4 linked regions of the Lonchura striata genome follow. The protein of the gene in region 3 purifies or fractionates together with the protein of the main gene of each other region. This does not show direct contact. Links are inferred from orthologs where the notes say so. Each region holds a gene or a part of one and is shown on either strand. Other genes may lie near its edges.

Region 1 (8,369 bases), on a different chromosome or scaffold from region 3:
TTGATGCCCACGAAGACGGCGATGCAGCGCATGACGCTGGCCCACTCCCGCTTGAACTTGTGGGGCTCCCCGAGGTGGCTGTCAATGCAGGGGTACAGCAGGCCAACCACAGCTGCAAGAGAAGGAACACCACTTGGACCAGCTGCTAGGCAAGGATTACTCCAGCACCACCAAATATTAGCTTGGCACATAAGGGCTTGAGAAAGCAACGAGGTGCTCATCGCACCGCTGTAAGCCTGATGGAGAAAGCACAATTATTACCCAGCTTTTCTTCTTTAGAGAAGTGAAAACCCCAGTGTAACAAGCAGCATTCTCTTTGAACCTTTAAATATATATTGCATTGTTAAGGTATCTGACTTGAAGCTCTTTTGTTTAAAGAGATTTGTCATTTGACATCCTGAGCAAACACTTGTACCAATAAAAGCAAAGCACAATAAAAGCTTTGCGAGGAGTGCAATCTGTGTTCATTGCTCACGTGCAGGGCTGACAGCTTTATGAACATGATTCATCAGCTGTGAATCAGGCCCTGAATTAAGTATTTGCCTGGACTTAAAAAGTTTATTAGCAGAGCTGCTTTCTCTCTTTCTGCTGGGCTGTAAGTCAGCCCAGGGCTCCTGTCCATGTTGTCAGATGAATTTTGATACCAAACAGAAGCAGAGCTGAACTTAAACAAGCAGCTGCCATCAGTCTACTTATATCAGGGAAAAATAACTACTCATACAATTAACAAGACAAAGTTTTTATCTCCATAAAGCATTTTTCAGCCTTTATCAGCCTGAAAGTTGGCTGCAGAAGAAAACCATAGGCCAGTGTTAGCTCAGTTGTTGGCAAGAACACCAGAGTTTCATTCTTCTAGGGATTGTAACTCCCTGAGTTGTCACCAACTCCAGGGTTAGATGTGCTGCTTTTACTAAGTGCAACTTCTGTGTTTATTTATTTCCTTTCCTGCTCTTTTTTTTTTTTTAATTCCTTAAACTCCTAAGAGTAATAAATTCTGTGTTAGAGAAGGCTAGAGAACATGCTATTCCAATAGAGACGTGTTCTGAAACAGCTTAATTACTCTGACACCAGCTACCAGGACTCTTAACTTATGCTAACACCTGAATTCCAAAGTTTAATCCAACTGTGACAGGACTACAAGAACTCTCATTGGAGAATATCCCAGGCCATCCCTTTAATGTTCATCCTTTAATGTAATCCATTAATTAACACAGTTCATTATTTATTCGAGTTTATGGTTTATCATTCATACCCCCTTCACTGTGTGATACAAGCAGACATCACACAAAACATTAAACAAAATATGCATTAAACAAAAATATGCAGAAGTTGTTTAAAGTATTTTCAACGCAAATTAAAAACTGTTAAGAGTGGGTTCGTTTCCTAAAATTTATCTCCATTTTTAATCCTCCAACCCTTCACCAAAACTTTGTTTTGCCTAGACAGAGGGACTGGGGGGGGGGGGGGGTGGGGGTGTTATGAATGATAAACCACGAAGTATGCGCCAGCTGCTGTGACAACCACACCGCGGCCTGAGCCTTCTGTGGTACTTGCCCAGCAGTGGTGACAGGGACAGCAGGCAGGGCACGGGGAGGTGACAGGGGCAGCGGGCGAGGTGGCGAGAGCAAGCAGGTGACGGGGGCAGCGGGGAAGGGGCACACAGGTGACAGGGGCAGGAAGGTGACGGTGGACAGAGAGGTGACAGGGACGGGGGACAGAGAGGGGACAGAGAGGTGACAGGGACGGGAGCAGGGCCCGGGCCGGTGGCGGGGCCCGCTGTGGCGACAGGGCCGCGCGCGCCGCCGCACGTGACTTCCTTGTTGTGGCCCAGCCCGTGGCCAGTCGCGGCCGCAGCCAATGGCGAGCGCCGCCCGCCACTCACCAGTTCGGCGGCAGCCAATGGGCGGCGGGGGGCGGGGCCAGCGCGCTCGCGCCGCGCTCACCGCCGCGCCCCGCGGAGCCCGCGCGGAGCCCGCGCTTCTCGGCCGCCCTCAGAGCGCACCGCCTCCAGAGCGGCCCCGGGACACGCGGGGACGGACCGGGCGCGCACCCTCCCGAGTGCCCGAGCTCGCATCTCTCGCTGTGGGATGGAAACGCGGGGCTCCCACGCGCACGGCTCAAGCATTCAGCCCCACCGCCTCTCCTCCTCCGCGAGAGGATGAGGAATAAAGCTGAAATCGCTGGTGGAGGTCAGGCACTCACCTGCTGCTGTGCCGCAGCACGGGGGCACCCACCAGGCGGAGGAGAAGAGAGTAGAAATCACTTCGTCGGGGAACAAAGTCACGTTCCGCTGGATCTGCAGCAAGTTCAGCACCAGGGCCATGAAAGCACCCACGACGAAGAGCACCACGCTCCTCTGCACCAGGTGCTGACTCCAGTTCAAGGTGCTGCTGGCGCTGCTGGCGGTGCTGCTGGCGCTGGAGGTGCTGGGGCTGCGAGCTCCGCGACCCACCAGCGCCAGCGAGGGGCTGGACACGGAGGAGCTCAGCATCTCGCCCACCTTGGCGGCCAGCCCCGCCGCCGTGTCCCCCAGCTGGCTCCTGTGCCTTCCTCTGGCGGTGCAGGAACAGCTCCAGGCGCAGCTCTCCAACCTGGGCATTGGCTTCTCCGGAGTCCTGAAACACACGCACAACCACACGCTACTAAAGCCCCAGCAACGGGTCGGGCCGCGCCTCCCTCCGCGCTGACACGCACCGCCGCATCCTCCAGCGCCGGCCGGGCACCGGGGGATGCGGGGTGACCCGGCCCGGCCGAGCAACCCCGGGGCTGCGCCGCCTCGTCCCCACGGGAGCACACGGACCCCGGCCCGCCGCCCCCGCGGGGACGGGCATCGCTCCCTGCCCGGGCCCGTCCGTCTGTCCCCGGGCACCCGCGTCCCGCTCACCTCGGGATGGAGAGGGGGGCTGCGCCGGCCGCCGCGCCGCCGGCCCGCGCCCCGGGTAAGGTTTATAAACCCCGAGCCGCGGATGTCACGTTACCCGCCGCCGACCTACCCGCGGCCGCAGGCAGCGCCGGGCCCGCCGCTCCGCTCCGCGCCGCCGCCCCGCCCGTCCCCTCCCCGCCGGGCGGGGCGAGCGCCGGGCGCGGGAGCCGCCGCGCCAGCCCCGGGCGGCCGCGGCCCCGCTCGGGTGAGGCGGCGCAGCCAATGGCGGGCGGGCGGCTGATATGACGTGCGGGACACACCACCCGCCTCCCGGGCCCGCCGCTCCGCCCGCTCCGCGCCGCCGGCGGCGGCAGCGCGCCCGGGATGCGCGCCGCTCCCGGGCGGGAAGGGGAGGGCGGTGGAGGGATGGAGATGCCGGCGGTGGTGACGCTGTCACGGAATCATGGAATGGTCGAGGTTCGAAGAGAGCTTTAAGATCATCGTGTCCAACTGTGAGCCCAGTGGCGCCGCTGTAGCCCTTAAACCACTAAGCCGCATCACCCAGTGCCAGCTTCAGACACTTCTTGAACACCTGCAGGGTGACTCCACCACCTCCCTTGGCAACCTATCCCAATGCCTGACCACCCTAAAAGTGATTTTTTTTTTTTTCAGCTATATAATCTGAATCTCCCCAGACTCATTTTAAGCCCAAGTGTCAGTGGCCGCTGCAGGCAAACCTTCGTGTGCTTGCCCAGCCTGCTGCGTGTCCCTTTGGGTGATGGCAGTTAGTAATGGGGAAGGCTGAAGGCGTCTGCTGTGGCCTCTCCTGAAGACGAAGGGATCACTGATCTCTGTCATAATTCTAAAATGGTGTAAGGGGATCCTGCCAAGGCTATGACTCCGTAAGATGGTGGTGCCAAAGCCAGACGCTGCGTCAGCAGCCAGCCATGGGGTGACCGGAGGATCCGAGGCTCCTGACTGGGCCCTGACAGCCTGAGCAGCTGCTCTGCCAGCACTAGCAAAGCTCAGGTCACAATCCTGCCAGACCAAAATAACAAAAACCCAGTTAAATACAACTTCACCCTCTGTACTCTGCAAGGGTTTGGGAAGAGGCCTGTCAGGGATGGTTAAGTGTGAGCTGTATATTATATGGTAGAGTTCAGCACCAAAAAAATGAGTACACAGAGCAGGACTCAGCTCCCAGGATGCCTTTTTGAGACGCTGGTTCTCCAGGACACATGGGAGGCTGGCGTTTGCAGTAGGAATTGCTGGGCTTCGTGTTTATTCGCTAGCCTCAATGGTCCAGCAGATCTTTTCACATGAGGTTGTGCCATTGTTACACTTAGGAGGAATACAGGACCCAAGGGCTTCCCAAGGGATGGCACTGAGCATTCAAGGGTAGCTGTTAGCCATGCCCATGATGGGCACAACGATGGTCCAGGATCAGTGCTCAGTGGTGGTTCCAGTCGTCTTTCACTGATGTGATAAACGTAGCAAATAAAATACATGAAATCAGTTGAAGATATGGAAAGAGGCAGGTCTTCTCTGCATTAATGAAGAGTAAAATTGACCTGGGATATGGCTATCCCTTTCTAGCTGGGATAGGAAGAGTTAGCGTAACTGATCCTGCTGAGCAAAGTGCCTTTGGAAAATGTACAGGACAGATTTGTTAGTGCCACTGTTGGAAGTGACAGATGAGCCCAGTATTTTTCTCTTAATGCCAGCTGGGATCACCCCAGTAATGTCTGGCAGACTTTACTGCTGAACCAAGGTACATGTGTCCTCTGTAAGTGGAATTGTAAATACTCAGTTTCTGTTGCTATTTACAGTACTGAAACAGCTTTTGGTTTTACTTTAATATGCTAAAATTGTTCAGATTCTTCTGTCAGATTTTTTTTTAAGACACAATATATTTCTCTTTCTCCATTTGTTTTTGGATTTTTTTCTGACCCAGTTGGATCTGCACAAAAAGTTTCAGTCAACTATTTTGAGAGAAAACAGCCTTGATATATTGTCAGCTTTTTATGGGTTCCTCTGCACAACATTTTGTTTCAGGAAATCACATGCAGACCTAACACTTCCCCTCATGGCCACTGTGTACAAGCTTTGAATTGACACAGACAATTTATCTGCATCCCCACACCACTAAGAAACACCTTCAACAGCTCTAAATAAGGGCTAGAACTCATTCCCTGGGAAATATTCTTTTTTGGTGAATCACTTACTTTGAGATTTATCAACAGGACTGTGGATCTGAGATAAAATGATTCATCTTTGTAGGAAATCTCTTCTTGGACTTGGCTTATGGGAAACAAATATAATTCATCCTTGCTTGTGCTGCATCTCTACTTTATTTGAAAAAATATATTTCTGTATTTAAATTCCCCCCCTGAATCTTGCCCATATTTTCAGTGTTTGGGCAGAGTTTATATTCCCTTGTGCTGCATCTGCTAGTTTTCCTTCCTAAAAGAACCTCTTAAGCAATTTTTTTTTTCATCCTGTGTTTTTCCTTTCCTCGTGAGTATGCTTTTTTTGCTATTTCCTGCAGAATATTTTATTTGAATATTTTATATGCATTTTTTTCATATTCATGATATCATGTGGTGGTGCCCTTCTTTCTTCCTGGTTTCTTTTGAGACAACAGAGACCAACTTCTGAGAGGGTAAAACTTGCTGCAGCTTTGCTAAAACCAGCTGAATCAGTGCAAATCTAAACTAGTCAATAACCTGTCCCTGAGCATATTTTCCCCAAAGTTACACACTTAGAATGAAGGTTAAATGCCCCTTTTGTTCGTGTTGCTTTACAGTCCTGTTGCTTTACATTTCTTTTTGGAATCCTAAGGAAGGTTAGGCCTCAGCATGCTTTGATTAATGCCTGAAATTTTATGCTTAACAGTTATTTCTGGAAAGAAGCGCTCACATGTCTTTGTAAGATTAATGACATCGTTATTTTTATCTCATCCCTTAGCAAAGGCAGCAGAATCTCTAAGTATTCAGCCTTGCTACTCATTACATAAATAAATAATTTCACCTGTTCTTTCACACTTTCTGTGTTAAACTCTGTGATGTTCTAGAATCTGACAATGTGCTTGCCTCATGAGGGCTGTCTCATGGGCCTCTTACGTGGGAAGTTTAGGATACTTGGACAAGTTATTTTTCTCCCTACTTAAACCAGATCAAAACATGAGCTGTCTGCTGATAAAAGCTCAAAAGGCAGTGGTGAAGAATCACAGAGCAAGGCCTGTTTTATGTGTAAAACTGCTCTCCCTCTGCTTCACTGGAGACTTTTTTGACTTTATTCACCTTCAAGAATTTCTCCTATTGATACAGAGAATAGAAACCTTCCCAGTGTCATATGCTCAGCCTTAATCTCCTGTGTCTCTATGAAAGGATTTAGTGACATTCATTGTCTGATTCCCTATGCCAACCCTATGTGCAAGAGTTCAAAAAATCTTTCGACTTCAGCAGCAGTCTGTCATCCTGAGTTCTTTGCTTTATCAATGGTCTCCAGTGTACTTGTGTGAATTCTCAGGAACCTGCAGCAAAGCCTGCAGATCACAGAATCATAGAATGGTGTGGGTTGGAAGGGACCTTCAAGATCATCTTGCTCCAACCCCCTGCCATGGGGGTTCCACTAGATCAGGTTGCTCAAGCCCCATCCAACCTGTCCTTGAACACTTCCAGGCATGGGACATCCACAAATTCCCTTGACAACCTGTGCCAGGGTCTCACCACACTCACAATAAAGAATTTCTTCCTGCTATCTAACCTAAACCTACTCTCAAGGTGAAGCCATTCTCCCCTGTCCTGTCACTTCAGGCTTTTGTAAAAAGTCCCTCTCAATGTTTCTTGTGGGCTCCCTTCAGGTACTGGAAGGTCACAATTAGGTCACCTTGAAGGCTTCTCTTTGCAGGCTGAGCAATCCCAATTCTCTCAGCCTTTCCTTGTAAGAGAGGTGCTCCATCCCTCTGATCATCTTGGTGGCCTCCACCAGAGTTGCTCTAACAGATCCATGTCCTTCCTGTGTTGGGGACCCCAGATCTGGATGCAGCACTCCAGGTGGGGTCTGAGCAGAACAGAGAGACAGAATCCCCTCCCTCTCCCTGCTGCTCTCGGTGCTTTGGACGCAGCCCAGGACATGGGTGTGCACATGGCCAGGTCATGTCTAGTTTCCCATCTACCAGGCCCCCAAATCCCTCTTGATCTGTTCATCCTTTGGCCTGGATTGTCACCAGCGTGGCCCCAGCCCAGACCCAGCACCGTGCACTTGGCTTTGTTAGACCACAGGACATTCTTGTGGGCCACTTCTCAAGTTCATCCAGGTCCTGCAGGTGTGGCCACTGCACCACTCAGCTTGGTGTCATCTGTAAACCTGCTGAGGCTGCCTCCAATCCCTTTGTGTCATTGATGGAGACATTCAATAACACTGGTCCCAGTGAGGACCATGCAGGACAGCACTTGTCACTGATGTCCTGGTTCCTTCTCAGAGGTCAGAACACCTGAGATGTAAATGGTGTATGCAGAGTTCTCCAGGGTGGCTCTGTGAGATTGCCCAAGCCCCAGTGCAGGAGCTCGTTAAAAACTGAAAGGAGAAGGACAGGGAGTGATTACAGGGCAGGATGCAGGATGCAGAATGTACAAGCTCTGAACTAGGCAAACTCCAGCCAGAACACTTCAGGCATGTAAAACAAAGGGGAAAAACAAAGTGTGATGCTGGTTAGTGTATAATAATGTGAGTCATCTGCAGTGAGCAGAGCTTAAAAACTTGGCTGCTTTTACATAATCTGAGGGTGAGGAACAATAGCTGGAGTTTGAACATGGAAATTAAACCTTAAGGTATCTGAACAAAGCCTTGTCTTTGTGTAGTTAATAATATTGTAGTGGGCATATGACAAAGGTTAATTGAATGTTTTTTGTTTAGTTGCTGATGTTTCTCTAGCTGCTTTTTTTTTTTTTTTTTTTTTACCAGAACAAAACAGAAAGAACAATTCCATGCAGGCTGCAGTCTTCAAATGTCTATAAATCCATGTAACAGCTATCATATAATTAGCCAACCAACATCCCACATGCAGCTGTGGGTACTGACTCCCTGTCAATGAACCTCTGTCCTGACACAAAGGCAGTGCCTTTGCCTTTCTTTTGATTTCATTCATCATCAAAGTTCTGCATATTTATGTAGCAGAGAGTTCAGTAAATTCATACTTGGTATTCAAAATGGTGATTTAATCTAAACTTCATTAAGAAAAAATACTGTTTGTTGGTTATATTGCTGAAAAAGTTACTTCTTTGGTGATGACAGTAGGTTTGTGAGGCTAGCATAAACATTATTTACTGAGGCAAGCTGTTCTGTCCAGATGTGGTTAAAATTGCTGATATTCTAATTTTTCTGTATTTCCATTTATACATTTATTTATTCTATGTCCAGACCTTTAAAGATTAGAAGTGATGCTTCCGTATTTTTTTAACATTAGTTATGACATAAAAAGCAGGGCACTATGGACCAGGTT
Region 2 (6,702 bases), on a different chromosome or scaffold from region 3:
CGTGGCACAGGGCATAGGACACAGGACCCAGGGCACAGGGCAGGGCTGAGGCACGGGCAGACGTGGGATGGAGCATTGCCCAGCCCAGGCCTGTGCTGATGGGCCCTGTCCCTGCCAGCCCCTGTGGAGCAGGAACCCCAGTCAGCCCCGGGACCAGTACAGGGGAACTGGAGCCTGGAGCATCGCAGAGGTGCAGAGGGAGCAGAGCAAACAGATGGAACTGGGGCTTAGCAAAGGGATGGGAAAACCCAGGAGATGAGTCCAATCTGCTGAAAAGGCAGGAGCGGGTGGGGACAAGCCGAGGCTTTCAGGAGCAGACATTCCCTCAGGCATGGGCAACCACCTGCCTTCTGCAGACACGGGCCACTTGAAGATGTGAACTGCTTTTCAGGATGGATTTCAGCTCAGATCCTGAACTTTCTCTGCTCCATCTGCAGCCCTTCCATCTGAGGCTGCACTTCGTGAGTGCCTCAAACCGGCACCGCTGCCAAGAGGAGCTGCCACCTCCTTCACTACCTCCTCCTCCTCTTCCTCCCCCTCCTTTTCGTGCTGCTGCTCCCAGCCCCAGACCCTGGTACCTGTGGTGCCCATGGCAGTGGGGTGGAGCAGGATGGCTGTGAAGGGCCCATCCCACCCAAACCATTCCGTGACACCAGACAGTGCCAGGCCCATGTGGGGCAGCAGGAGGGTCCCCACAGCAGACCCCCAATGTCCACCCAGGACGCGGGGCTGGAGAGCAGCACCCCCAGAACAGAGCTGAGGGGGGGCCAAGGCGCAGAGCTGAGCTTCAGTCATTGCCCGAGCAAAATGGGCAGAGAGGAGGCCCGGGGGCTCTCCAGGGCTTTGTGGCTCCTCAGAGCGCTGAGACACGGAGGTGTTGGATCAGTCTTGCAATAAAAACCGGGGCTTTCTTTCTGTGGGGACATGTCTGTTGTGAGAGCTGAGAGCACAGTTGGGGACCCGGCTGGGGACCCTGCTCCTCTCCCCCAGACTAAGGGGAGTAGGAAACTCCGTCCGTCTCCGGGAGCTCGGGCTGCTGTCCTCCGGTGCACCCAGCAGAGCTGCGGCTCCTGTTCCGAACACATCGGCGCTTTGCTGCGCGGCAGCACTGCCTGCGGGAGAGAGGTGTTCACGTCGCCCTGCAGTGGCAGGGACAGCTCTCTCCGGGCGGCGGCTCAGGCAGCAGCTTTCCCCGGAATAGCTGCGGCTCTCTAATCTCGCTCTGCAGCACGGGGGTGCCGCTGGTGCCACCCAGACCCGCAGCAGCGCTGTGCGGCGCGCCCCGGCTCCCGCCGCTCGGCGGCTGCCGCGCTCGCTGCGGCTCCGGCGGGTCCCACGCGGAGCCCACGGCCCCGCGCTGTGCCGGGACGCGGCGCGGCTGCCGGCCCCGCAGCGTGACCCGCCGGGACCGCGGCTCTCTGCCACCCCCGCGATGCCGCAGGCCAGCGCGTGGATGTTGGGGGCAGCTGGGACCTGTCCCACTCCAGGTGTCCGCCTGACTCTCCAGGGCCCCGGGACCCTCTCCAGCGCTGCCTCCGCGCGAGCCAGGGACACCACAGGGTGGACACCCATGTCTAGGGTGGTGTCCCGGTGTCCCCAGTGCCCCACTGGGGCAGAATCCCTCTGTGACCCCTCTCTGGCCACAGCCCCAGAGCAGCTGGACTCTGAATATGTGGGCTCTGGGAAAGAGGCTGAAAATGGAACAAGGTGGATTAAACCCCCCTGGGCACGGTGGAGGTCCTGACCAGAGCTCAGGGCCAGCAATCCCAGCAAGGCCTGAGGGACAGGAGGGGGGCTCAGCCCAGTCATGGGGGCAGAAACGCGGAGAAACACTGAGGAAAGGTGAAATGGTGAATGAAGAGTAACCAGAATGAGGGGACCATGAACGCTGGCAGAAACACAGTGGGGCAGCCCTTCTCATGAAAATATTTTCCCCAATATCCAAAACCTCCCCTGGCACAACTTGAAGCTGTTTCCACTTGCCCTGTCCCTGTTCCCTGGCGCAAAGCCCGACCCCCCCGGCTGTCCCCTCCTGTCAGGAGCTGTGCAGAGCCACAAGGTCCCCCCTGATCCCCCTTTGCTCCAGGCTGAGGCCCTGCCCAGCTCCCTCAGCCCCTCCTGGGGTTCCAGCCCCTTCCCAGCTCCAGTCCCTGGACACACTCCAGCCCCTCAGGGTGTTTCTCGGGTCGCAGCAGTGCCAGCCCAGGGGCCGGGCACTGCCGGGTTCCGCTGTGCCCTGGGAGGGCAGAGCCACCGTCACAGCACGGCAGAACTGCAGGAAGGGGCTGGGACACCTTTGGGTGCCACTGCGGGGGTCCCCACCCTGCTGACCACCCCTCTGCCGCCCACAGAGCCCGGGCAGGGCAGGGCAGGGCGTTCCCACCCCCGGGACTGGCCATGGCTTCAGCTCACCGCTCCTTCAGGAGAGCATCAAAACTCCAAGGGACCCAGAGCAGCCCTGGGCACGGCAACACAAACGCTGCCTGGCTCCGGGCTGCAGAGCTGAGGAGCACAGTCCGCTCCGCTTTCCTGGGAACTGAAGGTGACTGGGAAGAGCTTTCAGGGGAATATTAAACAGCTTCTTAATCGAGACAGGGAGGATGGAAAAGTCTCACTCTCTGGGAGCTGAAGGCAGACAAATCCACAGTGACAACCAGACACTGGGATTATCTGGGAGGGGATGAACCGCTGGATAAACCCTCAAATCTGAGCAGACACAACCCCTGCAGCAGTGGATTCAGGCTCATTCCACTGTCGGGAAGGGTAAATCCCGGTTCTGTGCCTGCACGGATCAGCCACGGTTCAGATCTGCTGCTGTGCCACATCCACTGCCCCGACAGCGCTGGGATCTGCTGGGCAGCTCTGGCCCAGATGGGCTTTGCCTCTCTCAGGGATCCTGCCCTGCAGCCCCTCCTCGGGCTTTGCCTCTCTCAGGGATCCTACCCTGCAGCCCCTCCTCGGGCTTTGCCTCTCTGGGGGATCCTGCCCTGCAGCCCCTCCTCGGGCTTTGCCTCTCTTGGGGATCTTCCCCTGCAGCCCCTCCTCGGGCTTTGCCTCTCTCGGGGATCCTGCCCTGCAGCCCCTCCTTCCCACCCAGAATCCCAGCACGGAAACCGTGACTCCTCTCCCGGAGGCTCTCAACCCCACGTACCCTCAGCAGGAAGGGGCTGCCCTGGCACGCTGATGCCTCCCGGTTTTATCCTGATTTCACCCTGATTTTTTCCCAGGACAAATAATATGGAGGATAAAATCCTCGTGATCTTATCCCAGGAAATGTCAGTGCCACACCAGTGAGAGACCCATAGAGGGGACATTCTGGGAACAGGGGACATTGTTGTCCAGAATTTTCCTTCCATCCACAATGGTCCTGTATGGGAGAATCATTTTGTTCCCATCTCCCCCATCCCTGTTGCAGTATTTCCGTGGATGGACCTCTTCACCTAAAAGTAAGACTTGTTGACATAAAACCAAGAACTTTTCACTTAAAATTAAGAATCTTTCGCCTAAAATGAATAATTTCTAGCAAAAAAATAAGACATTTTCACCTAAAATTAACAATTTTTAACCTAAAATTAAGAATGTTTCACCTAATATAAAAGATTTTAATAAGAGCCTGCAGGTAGCTTTGGTCACTCCTGGAGATTCACAGCTCCAGAATCACTGAGGGTAGAACTCTCAGAGATGCCTGAGCTTGCCCACCCTCAGCATGGCCCTGGCCACCACTGCCCTTGTCCCCAAGTGACACACGCACAGGAATTTAAACCAGGAAGTATCTAGAGTATCTGGGAGTGACTGGAGCCATACTGGGGGTGACTGCTAGCAACTGGAACTACACTGGGGACAAATGGCATCACACTGGGGTTAACTGGGTTAATTAGAATTACACCAGGAGTGACTGAACCCATGCTGGCAGCAACTGGGATGGTATTTGGAGCAGCTGGGCCCATGCTGGGTAAAACTGTGACCACACTGGAACTGTGTGGGAACACCCTGCAGGTTACTGCAATAACGCCGGGAGTGTCGGAGGGGCTGGGATCGCACCGAGAATGCCGGTGCGCCGGCAGTAACCGGGAGTACACCGGGCGTGCCTGGCGCCGGGACGGGACTACAGCTCCCGGCGTGCTCCGCGCGCCGCCCCACCCCGCCACGGCTCCTGCCGCCAGGACTACACGTCCCATGGCCCCCCGCGCCTGGCCGGAAGCGGCGCGATGGCGGCCCGAGCCCGGCCCGGTGCGGCCGCGGCCCCGGTTCCCCGCGGCCCCGCGGGCTGAGGCCGCGCCCGCCCGGTGCCCTCTCCCGGTGCGACCCCCGCGCCTGCCACCGCCATGGCGCTCATCGAGGGCGTCGGCGATGAGGTGACGGTGCTGTTCGCGCTGCTGCTGGCGGCCGCCGTGCTGGGGCTCGCCTGGGCCTCCACGCGCGCCCCCGAGCCCGCGGCGCCGGCGGCTGAGGCGGCCCCGAGCACGGCCCCCGCCGAGCGCAAGGCCTCGGCCCCGGCCCCGGCCCCGAGCCCGGCCCCGGCCCCGGCCCCGGCCGAAGCAGCGGCGGCCTCCGATGAGGCGGCGGGGCCGCGGCACCGGAGCGCTCCCGCGGGCACCGCCGAGGGCCCCGCCGAGCCCACGCTGGTGCTGCGGCTCAAGTTCCTGAACGACACGGAGCGCTTGGCGCGGGTGCGCCCCGGGGACACCGTCGGTACGCTCAAGAGGTGAGGGCGTGCGGGCCGGGGCGGCCGGTCCCGGGCCCCGCCGGGCGTCCCTGCCCTCCCCGCAGCCCCTGGCGAGGACAGCGCTGGCCCGGGACAAGCGGCCCGTGCCCGGGCGGCGGGGCCGTGGGACAGCCCGTGCTGGCAGGGACGCCTGGGCTGGCTGATGGGCACACGCACGCCCGGGTGTGCGGGCAGGGCAGGGCTGGAGGACCGTGGTGGGTGCGTTGGCAGGGGGTGAACAGAGGGACTGTCCTGGCAGGTGGCAGCTGGGCGGGCACAAGCGTGCGGGGTCAGGCGTGCGGGGCAGGGTGGGGGCTCAGGGTGGGCACGTTCATAGGATGTGGATGACACTTGGGGTGGCTGACCGGGACACACAGGCTCAGCTGGGCACGGGTGGCGTGAGGGCTCACAGTGGGCACAGGATGGGGGTCAGTCCTGTCAGCAGTGTGACTGCTGTCCCCGTCTCCTCCAGGACCTACTTCCCGGGGCAGGAGCAGCAGGTGCGGTTGATCTACCAGGGGCAGCTGCTGCGTGACGATGCCCAGAGCCTGGCAGGGCTGCACCTGGGCCACCTGAGCGTCCTGCACTGCCACCTGTCCCCACCCAGCGCGGCCCCCACGGCTCCCGGCACCCCCGGTCCCCGCAGCCCCGCGCCCGCCGCACTGGGCGTGGGCAGCCTGGCGCTGCCCCTCTTCGTGCTGCTGCTGGCCCTGCTCTGGTACCTGCAGCTGCAGCACCGACACGTCTTCACCGCCACCGCCACCACCTGCCTGGCCGGCCTCACCCTGCTTGTCACCTTCGTGGCCTTCGCCATGTACCGCAGATAGCGCGGCCCGGACCAGCACTGGGGACACGTGGGACCTGGAGCCGCACCTGGGAACCTCAGAGCCTGCCCGAGCCACCAGGGACGTGGAGGACTCTGCATCCAGCCCCCTCAGCGTATCGGGGGCACGTGGGGCCTGCCCACTGCGGCTGAAGAGGAGCGCTGGGCCCTGGACTGTGTCCCCCGGGGGCCCCGGAGTCCCGAGCAGGCACCCACACCTTGTCTGCACACAGGGGCTGTGTGGGAGTGGGGGCTCAGCTACCTCGGGGGCTCCCAGTGCCTCCGTCCCTGCTGGCAGCATCCCCCCATGCACTTGGCGTGCAGAAGCCCCTCGGGTGCGGTCCTGCCCGAGCTGCTGGCCGTGCCCGCGGAGCTTTTCCTGGGAATACGGCCTGGCCCCTCCCTGGGGCTGCTCCCGGGGGTTCCGGTGCCCGGGGAGGGACATGAACCCTGGGGTGCCGAGGGTCCTGGTGCCGGCGGGATACGCTCCTAAGGTGCCTGTACCGGGGGAGAATTCGTGCCCCCAAGCGGTCCCGGTGCCGGGGGTGGCTGCACTCCCACTGTCCCGGGGGTTCCCATGCTGTGTTGGGGGGTCCCACCCCCCACCGCCGTTCCGATTAAAGCGGAAAGACTGTGACCGGCCGTGGCGTCCTGGCTGTGCTGCGCCGCGGGTCGGGGATGCGGCGGCAGCGGCAGCGGCGGCGTGAGACCGGGAACGGGGCGGGGGCGGGGCAACGGGAGGGGCGGGGCCTGGCTCCTCCCGCCACGCGCTCCGCAGGGCCGTAGCGCGCCTGCGCCGGTGGCTCCGCCCCGCTCTCAGCGGAGCTCTCGCTGATTGGCGGAGGTGCGGCGCTGATTTGCATGCGGCGCGCGCCGGCCCCGCCCCGGAAGCGCCGCGCGCGGGGCGGGGCCGCGGGAAGATGGCGGCGGGGCTGCGCTCCCGGGCCGTGCCCGTGCCCCGGCGGCGCTGAGCGGCGGCGGTGGCGGCGGGAGCGAGCGGCCGCCAGCGCCATGTACGGCCGGGCCGCGTGGGGTGGGCAGGGAGTGCCGCCGGGGGGACCCGGGCGGGCTTGGTGCCGGTGGAGGTCGGGGTATGCCCGGGAGAGGGGCGGGGGACACCGGGCAGGCGGGAGGTCCCGGCACCGCGGGGCCGAGCGGGACGCGGGCCCGGACA
Region 3 (8,117 bases):
GACCCTTCCCCACTGAACTCCCCCTCTAGATCCCAGAGTGACGAGGTAAATCCTGACTGATTCTGAGCTGCACCTGTGCCAGCAGGACACGAAGCAAATGGAAAGGCAGGGATGGGAAATGGCAGCACCAGTTACTTTAACAGGCTGCAAAAATCATCAGTAATGTCTCTTTGGCTCAAAGAGTCCCAGAACTCCAGCGTAGCTGAGGATTTCAAAAGGAAACACAACCTAAAACCCTGCTCTGATGAAAGCTCCAAGGAGGGCAGTGCTTCCAACTGGGGCCTGCTGGGAAGTGCAGAGGGAAAATCAAACAGTAACAGCCTTAAGAGGGATCACATCACACTCCTGGACTGTTTGCTTTGGTCCCAGTTTCCTATCTGGAGCTCAGGCTCCTAAGGAAGCCCAGCCAGGAGTTTGGGACGCAGCTGCTATCAGTTCCCTGCACCTGCTGGCAGATGTGGGGGCAGAGGGTGACGTGAGGCCGCTCAGAGTGGGGCACAGCCCCACTGCAGACCCGAGCCAGACCCAGGCAGCTCAGCCCAGGGCTCCCAGGGAGTTTGCACAAGTTCCTTCTGTGCAGAGCGGGAGCTTTCAGCCCATTTCACACAGCAGCTGCTGACACCTGGAGCCTCCACGGGCCAGGAACCCGCCCAGCCACCAGCAGGAGCTGGGAACTGGAACTGGGGGGATCTGAGCCCCAGGCCCACAGCTTGTGTGGGAAGGGGACCTTGGAGAGCCTGGAGAGAACAGGAGCCTGCAAGCAGCCTGTGCTCACCCTGGCACAAAGCCTGTCCTGCTGGGCCCCTGTGCCCACAGCCAGCACTGCCAGTGCTGGCAGCCTGGGAGGATTTCCTGCCAGCCCAGAGCCAGCTGCACTGGCAGCTGCTGGGCCAACCCCTCCAGGCAAGCACAGCTTCTGCTCAGCCTCTCCTGCCCTGTGCCTCCCTGGTGGCCCCCGCCAGCACTCCTGGTTCATGGCACTGCAGCCCCAAAGCTCAGCCAGCCTCGGGCCAGTGGTGCCTGCTCAGAGTTTCTGTGACAGCAGAAAATAGTCACTGTCTGTGGCCACAGCCCGCTCTTCCATCTGCCTCAGACAGCCCTGTGACCCATCCAATCCATCACAGAGAATGCCACAGAATTCCTGCTGCCTTCCCTAAAGGGAGGCTGCCTGGGCTGGGCTCGGAGCTTGTTGTTAGCACACACTGCAGCAGTCAGCTCCAAAAGATAACAGGATGAAGGCTGACAGCTGGCTAACAGCCCCAGCTCCAGGCGGGATTAATGGCTAACAGCCACCAGCGGGCTCTGAAGCAGCAGCAGCAACTCACCAAACAGCTCGATGTACACCTCCTGCAGTGTGTGCACACTGCAGAACTGGTTCAGCTCGTGGTGGATCTTGTTGAAGATGAGAGCCTTGTCGTAGTCAGCCGTGTAGTTCTTGACGATGTCGTACACTGGGAGAGGAGAGCAGAGAGCAGGGCTGGAGCAGGGACAGGAGGCTGAGCGCTCAGGGAGAGCCCTGGAGCTCGGCCTCAGGGCAGCATGAAATGAGGGCCCCCCCTGCCCTCAAACCTGCTCAGGGCAGGTTTGTTTACTGCTGCTGTTTTGTGGCACTCTCACCCACGTCTGCCCCCTGCCCTGCGAACAGGAGGGTGTGAAGCACCCCCAGGCTGTGCTGGGGCTGAAAACACACACACACACAGACACGCGCACACACAGACACGCGCACACACAGACACGCGCACAGAGACACACACACACAGAGACACACACACAGAGACACAGAGACACACACACACACAGAGACACACACACACAGAGACACACACACAGACACACACACACACAGACACACACACACACACAGACACACACACACACACACGCGCGCACACAGACACACACACAGAGACACAGAGACACACACACACACAGAGACACACACACACAGACACACACACACAGACACACACACACACAGACACACACACACAGAGACACACACACACACACAGAGACACACACACACACACAGAGACACACACACACACACAGAGACACACACACACACACAGAGACACACACACACACACACACACACCACACACCCCTCCCTGCCCAGCCAGGCACTCCCAGGCTCAAACCCAAAGGATCTGGGAAAAGGCTGCCCAGGTGGCTCTCCCTGGGCTGCTTCGCTCACAGACCCTGCACCCTCCCTGACTCCACGGTGCTGCACAAAGCTCAGGGGCTGGGATAATGCAGGTGATACAAGCAGGAGACAATCAACACCTCACATTCCCAGGGCAGGGGTCAGAGGTGACAGCCAGGGCTCTGCCAGGTGCTGGGGGCACACCTGAGGGACAGCCCGGCTCCCTCCTGGGGCACACCTGAGGGACACACCTGAGGGACATCCCGGCTCCCTCCTGGGGCACACCTGAGGGACATCCCGGCTCCCTCCTGGGGCACACCTGAGGGACACACCTGAGGGACATCCCGGCTCCCTCCTGGGGCACACCTGAGGGACAGCCCAGCTCCCTCCCCAGCCCCAGCACCTCCCTCACTGCAGCACGGCCCCGGGGCACAGCTGGGACTCACCCGCGCTCTGGATGAGGAAATTCACCACCTCGATCCTGTCGAAATAAATCATCACTCCCCCGCTGCAAAGGGAGAAAGCACAAAATGATCCTTGCAGGAAGGGACTGACCCCTCCGGTGGGACCACCCAGCACACCCCAGCCCCTGTCCCGGAGCTCCCGGTCCCGGGGAGGCCCTGCAGAGCCTCCCGGTGAGCCCAGCCGGGGCTGCAGAGCGGTTCGGTGTCTGAGGAGTCTCTGGGACGAAAGGGAAGAGCGAACTCCTCACCTGGTGCCGCACGGGACATTCTTCACCTCGTCCGTCTGCAGCGTGGTCTGCAGGGGATTGAAGGAAAGAGGTTTAAGAGAGGGATTTCCCCGGCACAAATCCCACCGAGCTGGCGAGAGCCGCCTCTGCCCGGTACCGGCACGGCCGCAGCCGCGGCCAGCCCGGTGTGACAGCCGGGCTCCCCCGGTGCCCGCCCCGCCCGGGCCCGGGCCCAGCAGCACCTGCACTGACTTGTAGGACGTGATGAAGGGCAGCATGAGGTGGAAACCGGGCCCGCTGGTGGAGGTCAGCAGCGCGCCGCCACTGCGGAGGGAACGGGACGGAGAGAGAGAGAGAGAGAGAGGGGGAACGGTGAGCGGCGGCGGCTGGCCGGGGCCCGGCCCGCTCCCCGCACGAGGCCCCCCGGGCTGTCTCACCGGTAGTAGACGCCGATGTGCCCCTCGTCGATCTTGTGCACGGCCGAGAGCAGCGCGGCGGCCGCGACGCCGAGGGCGAGCGCGGCGATGGCGCCGAGCTGGGCCATGCCCGGCACCGGCGGCGGCACCGGCGGCGCGCCACTGACGTCATCGCCGCGCGCCCGCGCCGCCGCCGCCAGGGGGCGATGGAGGAGCGGGGATGTGGCGCCGGAGGCCGCGGGTTCGAGACCCGCCCGCGCCCGCCGCGGGTCGCGGTGCGGAGCCCCCGGGGCTCTCCCCGCCCGAGCCGGGCACAGAGCGCCGAGTGTCGGCGGGGACAGCGAGACTCGTCCCGCTGCAGCCCTGCCACGGGCCGGGATAGTCCCATTTCCACTTCCCACTGTTCCACGTTTCCCACCGAAGATCCTCCGTGGATCACCCACGGGGTGATCCAGTCCGGCTCCTGGTCCTGCACACACCCCAACAACCCCACCGTGTCCCTGCGAGCGCCGGCCAAATGTCCGAGCAGGAGCCTGGATTCCCCTCTGGCAACTACTGTTCTCAGCCAGAACATTTTCATTTCACATTTATATCGGCGCCCTCCCCCGGCATCGCCCCGACACGGACCCCCCGGCTCGCCGGGCCTGCTTTGGGCAATCTCAGGAAATGGGATGGGCCAGAAAACAGAACCGTCCAGCTCTGATCCTGGAAAGGGCCTTAAAAACCACGGGAGAGACGGATAAAACGTCAGTAAGGGAGAATGATTTGATCTTTACTCGTGATGGATCTCCGAGGTTATACATAACAGCCCTGTCAGGAGGGTTCAGCGCCATTTAGGAATAAGGAATGAAATATCCACGATATTTGTCAATCCAAATTTTACAGCTCTTAAAGAAGCGCAAAAGGGCGCCAGAGATGAAAAACACCCTGTAGTTGGTGTTTTTTTAAAGGCGGTTGCCCAGATTTAAGGCCTTGATAAAATGTATTAAATCTTTAAGGGTTTTAATGAATCTAGTGTGTGTTTCATAAATCACAAACCTCTGCTCAGCCCCTCTCAGTTTAATAAGGGTAAACTAGGAAATTGCTCTGAGCTGGAGCAAAATGCATCCATGGAATATTGAAAAGTAATAGGTTTTTAAATGTGGGGTGTTCTGGCTCACAGGAGAGGTTTTGCTTCATAACAGCGGCACTATATCACTGCCCTGAGCGGGAAACCAGCTGCGGCCACGTGTTTAACAGCATCAAGATGTGAACCAGCACAAAGGTAAATATTATTTGTAATAATCCTAAAAAAAAAAAAATGAAAGCCAAAAAAAATCATTACCGCTGGACTTGAAGCCAGGAACATTCAGTGGTGTCTGTGCCACAGCTCTCGGGGTTTTAACAGGGCTGTTTGTAGGAATAAATGGTTTATTGCACCCAGTTCTCTCCAGCTTGTTCATCCCTACCTCATCCCCCTGCCCTTGTAAAAATCTCCTGTGGGGTTTTCTGTGGAGTTCAGTGAGACCATCTGGGGGTCTCTGGGTGCTCATGGCTCCAGACTCGTGGGGATGGAGCTGGGATGGGACCCAGGCAGGCCCTGGGTGGGATAAGGGCAGAGCTGGGATAGCCACGGGCAGAGCTGGGATGGCCACGGGCAGAGCTGGGATAGCCACGGGCACAGCTGGGATGGCCATGGGCAGAGCTGGGATGGCCATGGGCAGAGCTGGGATGGCTGTGGGCACATTTGGGATAGCCATGGGCAGAGCTGGGATGGCCACGGGCAGAGCTGGGATGGCTGTGGGCACAGCTGGGATGGCCTGGGCACATTTGGGATAGCCATGGGCAGAGCTGGGATGGCCATGGGCACAGCTGGGATAGCCAAGGGCAGCCCCAGTGGGACAGGCCCAGCTCCATCCCGGCAGGCCCAGCTCAGTCTTGGCACAGCTGGCTCAAGCCTGGCTCAGTCCTGGCAGGCTTGGCTCAAGCCCGGCTCGGTCCTGGCAGGCCTGGCTCGGTCCTGGCAAGCCCGGCTCGGTCCCGGCAGGTCTGGCTCAAGCCCGGCTCGGTCCCGGCAGGTCTGGCTCAAGCCCGGCTCGGTCCCAGCAGGTCTGGCTCAAGCCCGGCTCGGTCCTGGCTGGTCTGGCTCAAGCCCGTCTCGGTCCCGGCAGGTCTGGCTCAAGCCCGGCTCGGTCCCGGCAGGTCTGGCTCAAGCCTGGCTCAGTCCTGGCAGGCCCGGCTCAGTCCCGGTGGGGCAGTGCAAGGCGCGGTGTGAAGCCTGTCTGCCCTCGTTAGCTGTCAGCAGTAACAATGCTGGGCTGGCAATAAAGGCAATTCCGAGGCTGTTGGCCATTAATCACCGCCTGACAGCTGGGAATGGGGCTGGAAAAACTCTGTCCCCACGCTCCTGCTTTGGCGTTTAAGGTTACCTGTGCAGCTGGAGCGGGGGGGTGGAAAGCTCTGCTCGCCAGTCCTGCCCCAACCCCACTCCTGTCTCCATCTCCATTTCTACCCTGTCCCAGACCCCATCCCAAATTCTGCCTCCATCTCTAGTTCCACCCCATTTGTGGATACATCCCATCCCATTGATCCCATCCCATGAATCCCATCCATGGATCCCATCCTATCCCATCCCCGCTGTCCCCTAGCTGAAACCTGAAGCAGCAGTGGAGCCCAGGAAGGGAAATCCCTGGGAGGAGCTGGGAGGCCGGGGGTGCTTGGCTGGGCCCCTTCCTGCTCTGCTCCAGCTCTGGCTCTGGCAGGCAGGGCAGGGCAGGGCGGGGATGGCAGGGGCTGTGTGGGGAAACGCTTCCCCAGTTCTGTCCATTGGATGTTATTTGCTGATTACGGGGCAGAGCTGTGTTTGAGAGTGTCCGGGCTCGTTCCGTGTCAGCTCTAACAATGCAGCTCTTGGCAGCGCAGGCAGCTCGGTGGCGTTGGCCATTAATCATCCCCTGACAGTCCGGAGCTCACACGTGGTCCTGGTGCCCCCTCCCCACGGCCGGCGGGGCAGGGGGGCTTCCTCCACCTTGGGCCCACCCAAACCCATGAGCTGAGGGTCCTGGACCCACATCCCCTCGAAAGGGCGTGTGGGGCGGGTGGAGAGTGGGGAGACATTCCTGCCCTTGCCGTGGGGCAACCAAGCTCCCAGGGAACAGCCCCTGGGAGGAGGCTCTTGGGAAAGCACTACAGCACGTGGCATTTCCAGCCTTTTCCTGCCCACCACCACCCCCTCGCTCCCCCAGCCCCTGGGCAGGAGCTGGGTCTGTCCTGGGGGAGGTGATCCCGCTGGGAATCAGTTCCCAGCACAGGAGGGGAGCTCTCCCTGAGGCTTCTCTCCGCGCCCCTCATCGTCCCGCAGGCGCCAGCCCTGTGGCTGGGTGCCAGCGTGCCAGGTCATCCCCCAGTAAATAAAGGAGCAATGTGTTTCCAGCCCCCCAATGCTGTTTTCTAAAGGGAAATGATTAATGGTGCTTGGAAACCACAATTCATCCCGGGAAAGAAAGTAGATTTACCCGAAACATGCGTGAGAATTAGTGCTGGGATGGGCTCCTGGGGCAGAGGGGGGAAAGCTAATGGCAAACAGAGCCCGTCTGTGCGCAGGGGGAGGGAATGGCCTGCCAAAAACATGGGCTGGAGGAGCTGGGATGGAGCTCCAGGAGGAGGAGAGTGGCCATCACAGCCAGGTTCCCTCCCCAGCTGGGAACCTCGGTCACTCCTTCCCTGACCCACAGTGAGATGTCACGGTGGAGAAGGGAATTCTCCTCTCACGTGTGTCCCAACAGCACAGCAAAGGATGGATGGTGCAGATGGCACCAACACTCACCTTTCTCAGAAGTCCAGGGGATACCTGGGACAAGCAGGAGTTGCACCAGAACCATGAAGCTCGGGCCTGTAAACGCCAAATGCTTCCAAAATGTCTGTTTTATGCTCAGGGAATGTTCTCACCTTGCTCCTGCTGGGGGGATCCACTGGGATAACTGGGATGGGCTGGGGTGCACCACAGCACCACGGAGCCTTCCAGGTGCTTCATTCCTGAGCAGGAAACCTCAGAGAAGGGGAAAACACAGTTTTTCTCTGTAAGGGTCAAAGGGAGGTGGCTGTGGCAGCCCCGGCATGGAGTGTGGGAGCTGCAGCATCTTCCTGCTGAGCTTCCAAGTTCATGGAAAAGGTTTTCAGACACAAATCCTGACCTGGTTCTAAGCTGCCGTGCTCTTCTGTGCCCAGGAGAGCAGCAAGGGAGGGGAGCAGCAACAGGTGACATGAATTTATCACCTGAATCCAGAGATAACCCCAAGATCCTGCCTTTACCTCAGTTCTGGATCAAGGCAGCAGCTGGCTCCACGCAGATCATGTCCAATCAGCAGCGTGGAGGAGCTCGGACAGGGCTCTAGGAGAGAGATTTATCTGTGGGATTCCAGGAAGGGCTGGGGAAACCTCGGTGAGGTGCTGACGCCCAGGTCAGGAGTCATCCCTGGCTCGGTGATATATTTAGAGCAGGATAATGTAAGTGACAGGAGGGAAAAAAAATTTTAAAAGTCCGTGGAGGAGGTGCAGATCCGTCCCCTTGGCTGGGAGTTACTGGATGATCCGAGCCAGGGAACAGATAGTTGGATTTCCCTTATTTCTCCCTTCAAATAAATCACAGCTCCAGAGGCCTTTAAACTCTGCAACATGATCTGTTCCAATAAGGAAGGGAATGAAAGGCTGCGTCTCTCTGGAAGCCTTCAGAGCCATAAATCTCCTATGTACAAACACAGACCAGATTTCCAAGTGCATTTATTTTATTGTATTGTTTTAACAGAAAAATCAAACTGCAATAAACTCCGTCCCTCATTAGCTGTCTCCATATCCAGGCCAAATGTTGCTAACGAATAAAATCAGG
Region 4 (7,543 bases), on a different chromosome or scaffold from region 3:
TGAGCTCAAAATCGAACACTCAAACTTCTTAAACTCTGAGACAAAACTCTCTAGGAAAAAAAAAAAACAAAACAATAAACCATATGCAAATCACAAACTAAAAAAATCAACAACTAACACAACAGGCCAAATGAACCCCATTCTCAATTTGCTTTAGAGTTTGGGAGGAAGACTGAGTACACTGAGATAGAATATGACTTCTGGGGTTAAGTAAACACAATTGAGGGATGCCAGTCAAGGTTTGCAGGTTTGCTACAAACTTATCCATCAGATCAGGTCTCCAAATCAACCCTGGAGGCATGATGAGCAACAAACAAAACAAGGGAAAGGATATAAAAATCAGCTGATACCTAACTGCAGGCATTCTGAGATCTTGCCTTTTCTCTTTCTTACTTCTTTGCTCTCTACATATTTACAGGAAAACATTATCTTTGTTTCATAAAAGCCATCTAGATTAGCTGTTTATTTCCTTTAAACCACAATCCCTATGTTATACCCCAACAGGTTCTTCTGAAAAATGACTGACGTTTACTACCAAGAATCAAGAGTGGCAGCAGAGGAACAGTTAAGAAACAAGGAACTCATCTGCAAGTAGGCTTCCTAAATAAATACAGAAACCTGGTGGAGCATGAAGACATGGAAGTGGAGGTACATGAGAGGGTGGAACTCCAGAAGGACCTGAACGTGTGGTGACAGCTGAGAGCACAGGAGGTCCACGACAGGAGTAAGTGCAGGGGACTGGGCATGTCCATGGGCTGGGTATGGATCTCAGTCAGAAAGAAATTTTCCCCTAATATTTTAAAAACTTCATCTGTAAATCTACTGTACACCAGGAAAGCACGAGCTGAGTGGCTACTGTCAAAGATCACACTTCTGAACTCAGCAAATGACTGCATTTGCCAAAGTACACTGCCTAGCCCTCAAAACACACGAAAAACACTTCAAGACAGGCTAGGGGAGTTTTCACCATAAGTTAAGGTACACACAAAAAAACCTGCTGGAAACAGCATTAATTCAATGTTAATTCAACCTGAGAAAGGCAAAGAGGGACTATAAATTAGAAGCTAATTTCACCTATAGAAAACAGTCCTGGAATACGTGTTCACAGCATGACATGAGGATGTCTCAAGTATTTATTTTTTTTCATGAAAAAATGAGAAAAAGTTCTGGTGAGAATATAGAAGTCTGGCTAGTTTATTAACAAAACCCAAAGTTTGTTCCTCTTTGCCATAACAATGAAATAAAAAGAGCAGCACTGTTGGATGTCAATTCCACAGGAAAGACCCTTTTCCATATTTCTTTCCTAATAAATTTTATTTTAACTAAGATTACTGAAATTTAAATAATCTAAATCTAGTTTGTTTATGAAACAAGTTCTGATTTAGTTCCTGAACCTTTTGCAGTTTAAATCAAAAAGATTTGTCAGTGTATTTTTCTTATCCCTAAGGTAATAGTGTCATTTTCTGACACTGAAAAATTTTACAAAAGGAAAATTCAAATTAGAAAATAAATTTAAATCTAAAACTACTACTGAGAGTTTATATAAATATGCCCACTCATAAATTTAACAACAATCTGAAACTTAACATATTACAATTGCCTGGGCTTCAAGTACAACCAGGTAACCTTAGCTGAAAATTGCTGACAGTGCCTAGAAGAAAGTGCACTGACTTCTTGACAGTCATTTTAGATATTTTTAACAAACGAATGAGTGTCCTGTTGTTAATCATTAAATACATATTTATCTCTCACTACCTTTTTACTCTTTTCTATCCCCCAAACATGTTACATTTTAACTCCTTGGAAACATTTCTCAAGTTTCATCTCTCCACTTCCGGCAACCCGTATTGGGCACCTGCATTTTAATATCACCACAAAGTGGTCCCAAAACATGAATTCACTTGTGATCACTTGCTCTTGCAAAAGCAGCCATTTGCCTTCCAGTCCAACGTGCCCTTGCTGGCCTCGTTTCATGAACTGGGATTCTGCAATGCACATCTGTGTTACAGTCAGTGCTGCCAGGCTGAAGGGCTCTTTTGGGAACACCGAGGAGTCCATGTACCTTGTAAATGCAAACAGCAAAAACCCTCGGATGATTCAAGTAACTGCTTTTTTGTTATCCGTTCCATAAAGGTTTAATATAGACTCCAAGAAAAATCTTTCAACAAAGATTTTATCCTCTTACCTCACAAAGTCCAAAGGGGGAAAAAAAAAAAAAAAAAAGGAATATAACCAGTTGGGTAATGCTGCCCCAGCGTTTTCCTGGTTTGCAGTGCCGTGTGAGAGACGTGCTTGGCTAACCCAGGTTAGCAGCAAAACGTAAAAATATCAAACACAGCAGTTTTTACATACAACAGACGTGATTTAAGAAGTAACAAGCGAGTCTTAATGTACGAGCAATTCTCAAAATATATCCGGTGTCCCGCCGCAGCAGCTGACACCCCGAGCCGTACCCGAGCCGTGCCCGAGCCGTGCCCGAGCCGTGGCCGAGCCGTGCCCGAGCCGTGCCCCGAGCCGTGCCCGAGCCGTGCCCCGAGCCGTACCCGAGCCGTACCCGAGCCGTGCCCGAGCCGTGCCCGAGCCGTGCCCGAGCCATCCCTCGCTGCGGGCGGCGGGTCGGGCCCCGCTCGGCGCCGGCACCTGCGGAGCCCCGCAAAGCCGCGGAGCTCGGGACTCGCCCGGGCCCGCCGGCCGCGCTTCCAGGGCACCGGGCGAGGCCGGCGCTCCGCGGCGGGGACGGCTCCGGCCTCGCAGCGCCCGGCCCGGCCCGGCCCCGGAGCCGCGGCCCCGGCTCCCCCCACCGCGCCCGGCCCGGCCCTGCCCGGCCCTGCTCACCGGCGGCTCCCGCCGCGCCGCGCCGCGCCGAGCCGAGCCGAGCCGAGCCGCGCCGAGCCGCGCCGAGCCGAGCCGAACCGAGCCGCCCTCCGCCGGGCCCGTCACCTGACCGCCCGGAAGCGCGGCCGGCGGAAGGGCCCGGCCCCCGCCCCGCCGCCCCTCGCGGCCCCCGGCCCCCGGCCCCGTTACCTCGGGCAGCCCCGCCCGCGCTCGGCCCCGCCGCGACCCCCGGTCCTGCGGGCGTGGGCGGCTCTGCTGCCCGGGGAGGGGCGGGGCCGCTCCGAACGGCGGCGCCGGGCACTGCCAGGAGCGCGCCGAGAAAGCTCGGCCCAAGCAGGAAGGGAGGAAAGAAAAGGACGGAAAGGGAAGGACGTAAGTTTGAGGGAAACGAAGTGTTGACTTAGGAGTGTAGAGTGCTAAGAGTCTGAGCCGAGAAGCGGATTCAGGATGGAAAGAATCTGAGCTGAGAATCTCCAGGATGGAAACGGAAACAGAGAGCTGGATAAAGGTATTTAGAGATTGATAAAGGTATGTATACAGTTGTGAGAAACCAAAGAACCAGAGGGACCAAAGCGAGGGAGAGGAGGTGACCTGCCCGAGAAGGCATTTCTGGAGGGTTTGTCCCAGCTCTGAGGGCACCCCACCAGTCCTGGGAACTCCAAGGTACAAAACAGCCCAAAATTGCTTGTTCTTTACATGGTGGAGAACGGGTAAATCCTAAACCAAGGTATTCCACTATAGCAGGTGAGTTTTATTAGGGAATAGTGAAGAAATTAAGGGAAGTTAGTGCCAAGGGAACCCATCAGAAAGAGCCCAAGGATATTGGCAGTGACCTGTCTGCTGCCAGGCAGCCTGAGAGTGCAGAGTTCTGGCGTGGAGGTTGGAAGGTGCAAGCCGGGAAGTGTCCACCAGGATAAAAACAGTTATACGAAATCTTTCTGCTGCTTTCCTGCACACAGGCTTGGCAAAACCCACAGCAAAATGGTTATCCAGAAGCCCACCTGGAGTCACCAAACACATTGTCTCACACCAGAAAATTTCAAGATGACTTGAAAATGTAGCACTTAACGTGACAGCGCTGATGGCATGAGGAGCACACAAAGCAGTCCTTCCTACCTGCAGAGCGGTGAAAATCTCCAGCAAAGCCACTCTCTCGTTTTCCACCAGCACAGCTTGGCACAGCTTCTATGCCCCAGCAAAAACTTTCATGTCAGTGTAGTAACTGATTAGAACGTTACCAGGGCCCCACAGACATGAACCGGATCCTCCAAAAGCTGATTAAAACAAGGATCAGTTTATGAAAGTCGGGTACGAGGGACGGTGTTGGACTACAGCTCCCGGCATGCGCTGCGGCCGGACTACAGCTCCCGGCACGCGCTGCGGCCGTACCACAGCGCCCAGCGTGCCCCGCGCCTGCAAGATGGCGGCGCCCAGGGGCGTCTCGGGCCCGGACAGCGACACCGGCTCGGACTCGGACAGCGGCGGCGAAGCGGCCGCGCGGTTCCGGGAGGCTGCCTGGGACTGCACCGCGCTGGCGGCGGCGCGGGCGGAGCCGTGCGGCGGTGAGAGGGCGGGGGACAGACTGGGCTCTGCTCCCCGCGCTGCGGCGTGCCCTCCTCTCTCTTCCCCGCCCCGCCCCGCCGCTCCGGTCCGGCCCCCTCCGCAACTTCTGACCCGTGGGGATTCCTCTGTGCCGCGCTGCCGGTGTCAGAAGCGAGGGGGCTCTGCCCGACCCTCCCGAGCCATGTCCGGCCTCCAGCCCGGCCCAGAGCCCCCTCCCGGCAGTCCTGGCCTGAGGGGAGTTCCCCTTTCCCCTCATAACTGTTCTCCCCCGAAGGCGGCCCAGGGCTGTCTTTCAGGCATTGTTTTTATGCTCTGACATGTGCCTGACGGGGGTTAAGGAAGTTCTGGCAAGTCTCTAAGTGTGCTTTGCTGCTTTCCTTTCAGGGGGCTTTAGAAAGGATCGGTTGCAGCCTAAAGATCAGCCAAGCTTGAGGTATTTTTGCTTCTGGTTTCAGACTTAATGTTTCCATTAAGAAAAAATTTATGTGCAATATTTTTGCTGCTTCTGCTTTGTACCTTATGATACTTCGTACTGAAAGGGGAAGTTTCTGTTTGGGGAATTAGTCCAACCATAATCTGAAATTATGCTTAAATTTGTACAGGATAATATGTTTTTAAGGCTTTGGGTGAGAGGGACAGATATTATTGGCCTCGAAAGAGATAATCCTTGTTCTTATTTCAAACGGGCGTGAGGCAATCGGCCGTGAGGAGGGTGACAATGAGCTCCAGACGACTCCAGAGTTCAGAGCACACGTTGCAAAGAAACTGGGAACCATGCTAGACAGGTACTGGTGTGCAAGGCTTGAAACCTGTGTTCTGTGGGTCAGTTACACTGACGTGTTTGTGTGCTAAACACGGGAAAGTCAACATCTTGTCTCCTTCATGCCTGTATTAAGTACAAACTTCCAGTATTCTGTGACCTAACCTTGCTGATGTGTTGTGCCCATCTAGTCAAAACTCTCTGTGCAGCACTGGGTGTCTTCATTTGCCTCTGTGGTGAACATCTTGTGCGGAGAAAAAGAGACGTCCATCCTGTAAAGGCTGGCGAGAGAATCTTGTTCTCACAACCTCCACCAGTCCCTGAATCAGGGCTGTGCTGGCAGAATGATACTGGGCTGCCCCTCTGTCTATTAGGCAAGGATGGCCCTGAGGAACTGGAATTCCTGCTGTTCAGAGCTGGCTTCAGAAACACTGTTTTCAAACTGTTCTTCTCTTCCTCATTGCTGAGGAGAGAAGGCCTGGTCTGCTCTGGAAACAGGGAGCTGAGGCAGCCTCACTAACAAAAAAGGATCTGTGCAACATCTCCCTCTAATCTTCTTTCCCAGAAATACCCACCTGTAGCTCAGTGTGCACAAACCTGTCTGAGATCTGACTGGGATTTTCTGTTTAGTGTCATCACTGTCTTGAAGGATTCATCAGGACCATCACAGACTTGGTTGGCACAGTCTGACTCTGAAGATGATGGTGAGTTCCAGTCTCAGCCTTTGTATCTGTTTTGTGACTGTTGGCTGCTGACAGGTGGGGTGGATCCTGTCCATCACCAGGACAGTGCATCCCAGTGTCTCATAAACATTTGCTCTGAACTGAAAGAACTTCTGGTGGTGTCTATGAGAGCTGCTCCTTTTCAGTTCTGACCTCTGTGCCCCAGGTCCTCCCACACAGTCCCAAATATTTGCTGTCAAGCACTGTGGAAATACAGAAACAGCACTGAGGCTTCCAGGAAAAGAGCAGTTGATTGATTCCACCTCTGTTTTATATTTTGCCTAAAACCCCTCTTTCCATACTTCAGGTTTCCGCCTCTTTTCTTCCTCTGTCCCTGGAGACTGTGGGAAGCCGGAGCCTTGCCCTGCAGCAAGGAGGAGGAGGCCAGTTAGCTCCAGGTGAGGTGCTGGCAGCTGCTTTGCTCCTCAGGTACTGTTGCATCCCACATTTCAGAGGCAGCTGAGACTCCCACAAGGGAATAGGAAGCTGAAGAGCTTGAGAAGTGTGCATTTATGACTCCTATATTTGACTAGACCAGAATTTTGTTACTTTTTTAGTGCTGGAGAATGAGAAACGTTTGTGGGAGATTTTCTTTCTCCTCCTAGTGTGTGTAAAGAGCACACTGGCCTTCAGACTGGTTAAATGCAAACTGTAGGTGTGGGAGTCTCAGAGCCACTGGGTGTTTATCGTGTGTTCTCATCTCAGATTATTCTGCTGTTCAAGTTCTGGGTGAATTCAAGGAAAAAATACAATACAAATTCCTTCCCTCTTGTTGCCTTTCCAGTGACACAGACAGTGAGCAAGAATGGCAAAGGTGCCAGGAGGCTGCCGTGTCAGCTGCAGATATTCTGAAGCAAAGTGCTTTCCCTGCATGGTCCCAGGGCTCCAGCCAGGATCAGAGTCAGAGTTATGTGGAACCCAATCAGAAAAAGAAGAAGAAGAAGAAGAAGAAGAAAATGAGGAGAGACAATAATATTCAAGAGAAAATAATAGACCCAGCAGAGTGTGACCAGATCTGCAAAGATTTGCCTCGGTTGGTGTCTGCAAATGGCCAGCAGGAGAGACAGAACAGCCATCACAGAGAGAACTCTGTGCTGCCAGGAGCTGTGAAGAAGAAAAAGAAGAAGAAAAAAGAATGATGATTTTGCTCTGCAAACAGCAGGTGGTTGTGATGGGTGAAGGAAACTGAAAGAAAACCTAACAACAAGAGTTGCTGCAGATGAGGGAAAATTAATTGGCAAAGCATCTGTTCTAAAAGCTCAGTGGCCTGAGAGACTAATTAAGTGACTTCCTGTGCTACTGGCGTCCCTGAGGAAAGGAACATTGTTCTCCTCACACAGCAGTTGGCTGTGCTGCTGCTTGTGCAGGCCCCATCTGAAAGGATTAAATCCTGTGCCAGGCTTGCATGGCAGAGGGATGTGATCATAGCTGCATTCCTCCTGGTCTGTTCCTTCACATCATGAAACCCTTCTGGAGAAAGTGTGTGATGAATTGAATTTGGTTTACATGGCAACAGGTGATCAGCTACTTTTTGCCTCCTTGTAGACTGCTAAGAATAGCTCCAGCCCATGGGAGACTCATTTTTCAAAAGCATCCTGTCAGAAATCAGGGCCCCTTATTTTTTCCCTGCGATCATCACAACAATCTGGTTTTGAAACCTGCT

The links.
Region 1: the proteins of ERLIN2 (region 3) and INSIG1 purify together in Homo sapiens (affinity purification with western blotting; 4 studies listed by BioGRID and IntAct, with this or other methods). This does not show direct contact. The link is inferred for Lonchura striata from reciprocal best matches to the Homo sapiens genes ERLIN2 and INSIG1.
Region 2: the proteins of ERLIN2 (region 3) and TMUB1 purify together in Homo sapiens (affinity purification with mass spectrometry; 4 studies listed by BioGRID and IntAct, with this or other methods). This does not show direct contact. The link is inferred for Lonchura striata from reciprocal best matches to the Homo sapiens genes ERLIN2 and TMUB1.
Region 4: the proteins of ERLIN2 (region 3) and RNF185 purify together in Homo sapiens (affinity purification with mass spectrometry; 5 studies listed by BioGRID and IntAct, with this or other methods). This does not show direct contact. The link is inferred for Lonchura striata from reciprocal best matches to the Homo sapiens genes ERLIN2 and RNF185.

What each region holds. Positions count from the first base shown.
Region 1 is NC_134603.1:149,213,817-149,222,185, forward strand, and holds the start of INSIG1 (insulin-induced gene 1 protein), read right to left. Parts: upstream 3,059-8,369; 5' UTR 2,994-3,058; exon of another isoform or gene 2,885-2,993; intron 2,616-2,884; 5' UTR 2,600-2,615; coding exon 2,203-2,599; intron 113-2,202; coding exon 1-112. UniProt on the Homo sapiens protein: Oxysterol-binding protein that mediates feedback control of cholesterol synthesis by controlling both endoplasmic reticulum to Golgi transport of SCAP and degradation of HMGCR.
Region 2 is NC_134603.1:156,868,748-156,875,449, reverse strand, and holds TMUB1 (transmembrane and ubiquitin-like domain-containing protein 1), read left to right. Parts: upstream 1-4,279; 5' UTR 4,280-4,325; coding exon 4,326-4,705; intron 4,706-5,177; coding exon 5,178-5,532; 3' UTR 5,533-6,165; downstream 6,166-6,702. UniProt on the Homo sapiens protein: Involved in sterol-regulated ubiquitination and degradation of HMG-CoA reductase HMGCR. Involved in positive regulation of AMPA-selective glutamate receptor GRIA2 recycling to the cell surface.
Region 3 is NC_134634.1:4,281,053-4,289,169, reverse strand, and holds the start of ERLIN2 (erlin-2), read right to left. Parts: upstream 3,405-8,117; 5' UTR 3,382-3,404; coding exon 3,275-3,381; intron 3,162-3,274; coding exon 3,080-3,161; intron 2,906-3,079; coding exon 2,859-2,905; intron 2,655-2,858; coding exon 2,593-2,654; intron 1,452-2,592; coding exon 1,326-1,451; intron 1-1,325. UniProt on the Homo sapiens protein: Component of the ERLIN1/ERLIN2 complex which mediates the endoplasmic reticulum-associated degradation (ERAD) of inositol 1,4,5-trisphosphate receptors (IP3Rs) such as ITPR1.
Region 4 is NC_134620.1:4,592,403-4,599,945, forward strand, and holds the start of RNF185 (E3 ubiquitin-protein ligase RNF185), read right to left. Parts: upstream 3,132-7,543; 5' UTR 3,025-3,131; intron 2,925-3,024; exon of another isoform or gene 2,836-2,924; intron 1-2,835. Other genes in the region: C18H12orf43 (protein CUSTOS), read left to right, coding at 4,133-4,397, 4,783-4,830, 5,084-5,183, 5,789-5,862, 6,188-6,278, 6,665-7,019. UniProt on the Homo sapiens protein: E3 ubiquitin-protein ligase that regulates selective mitochondrial autophagy by mediating 'Lys-63'-linked polyubiquitination of BNIP1.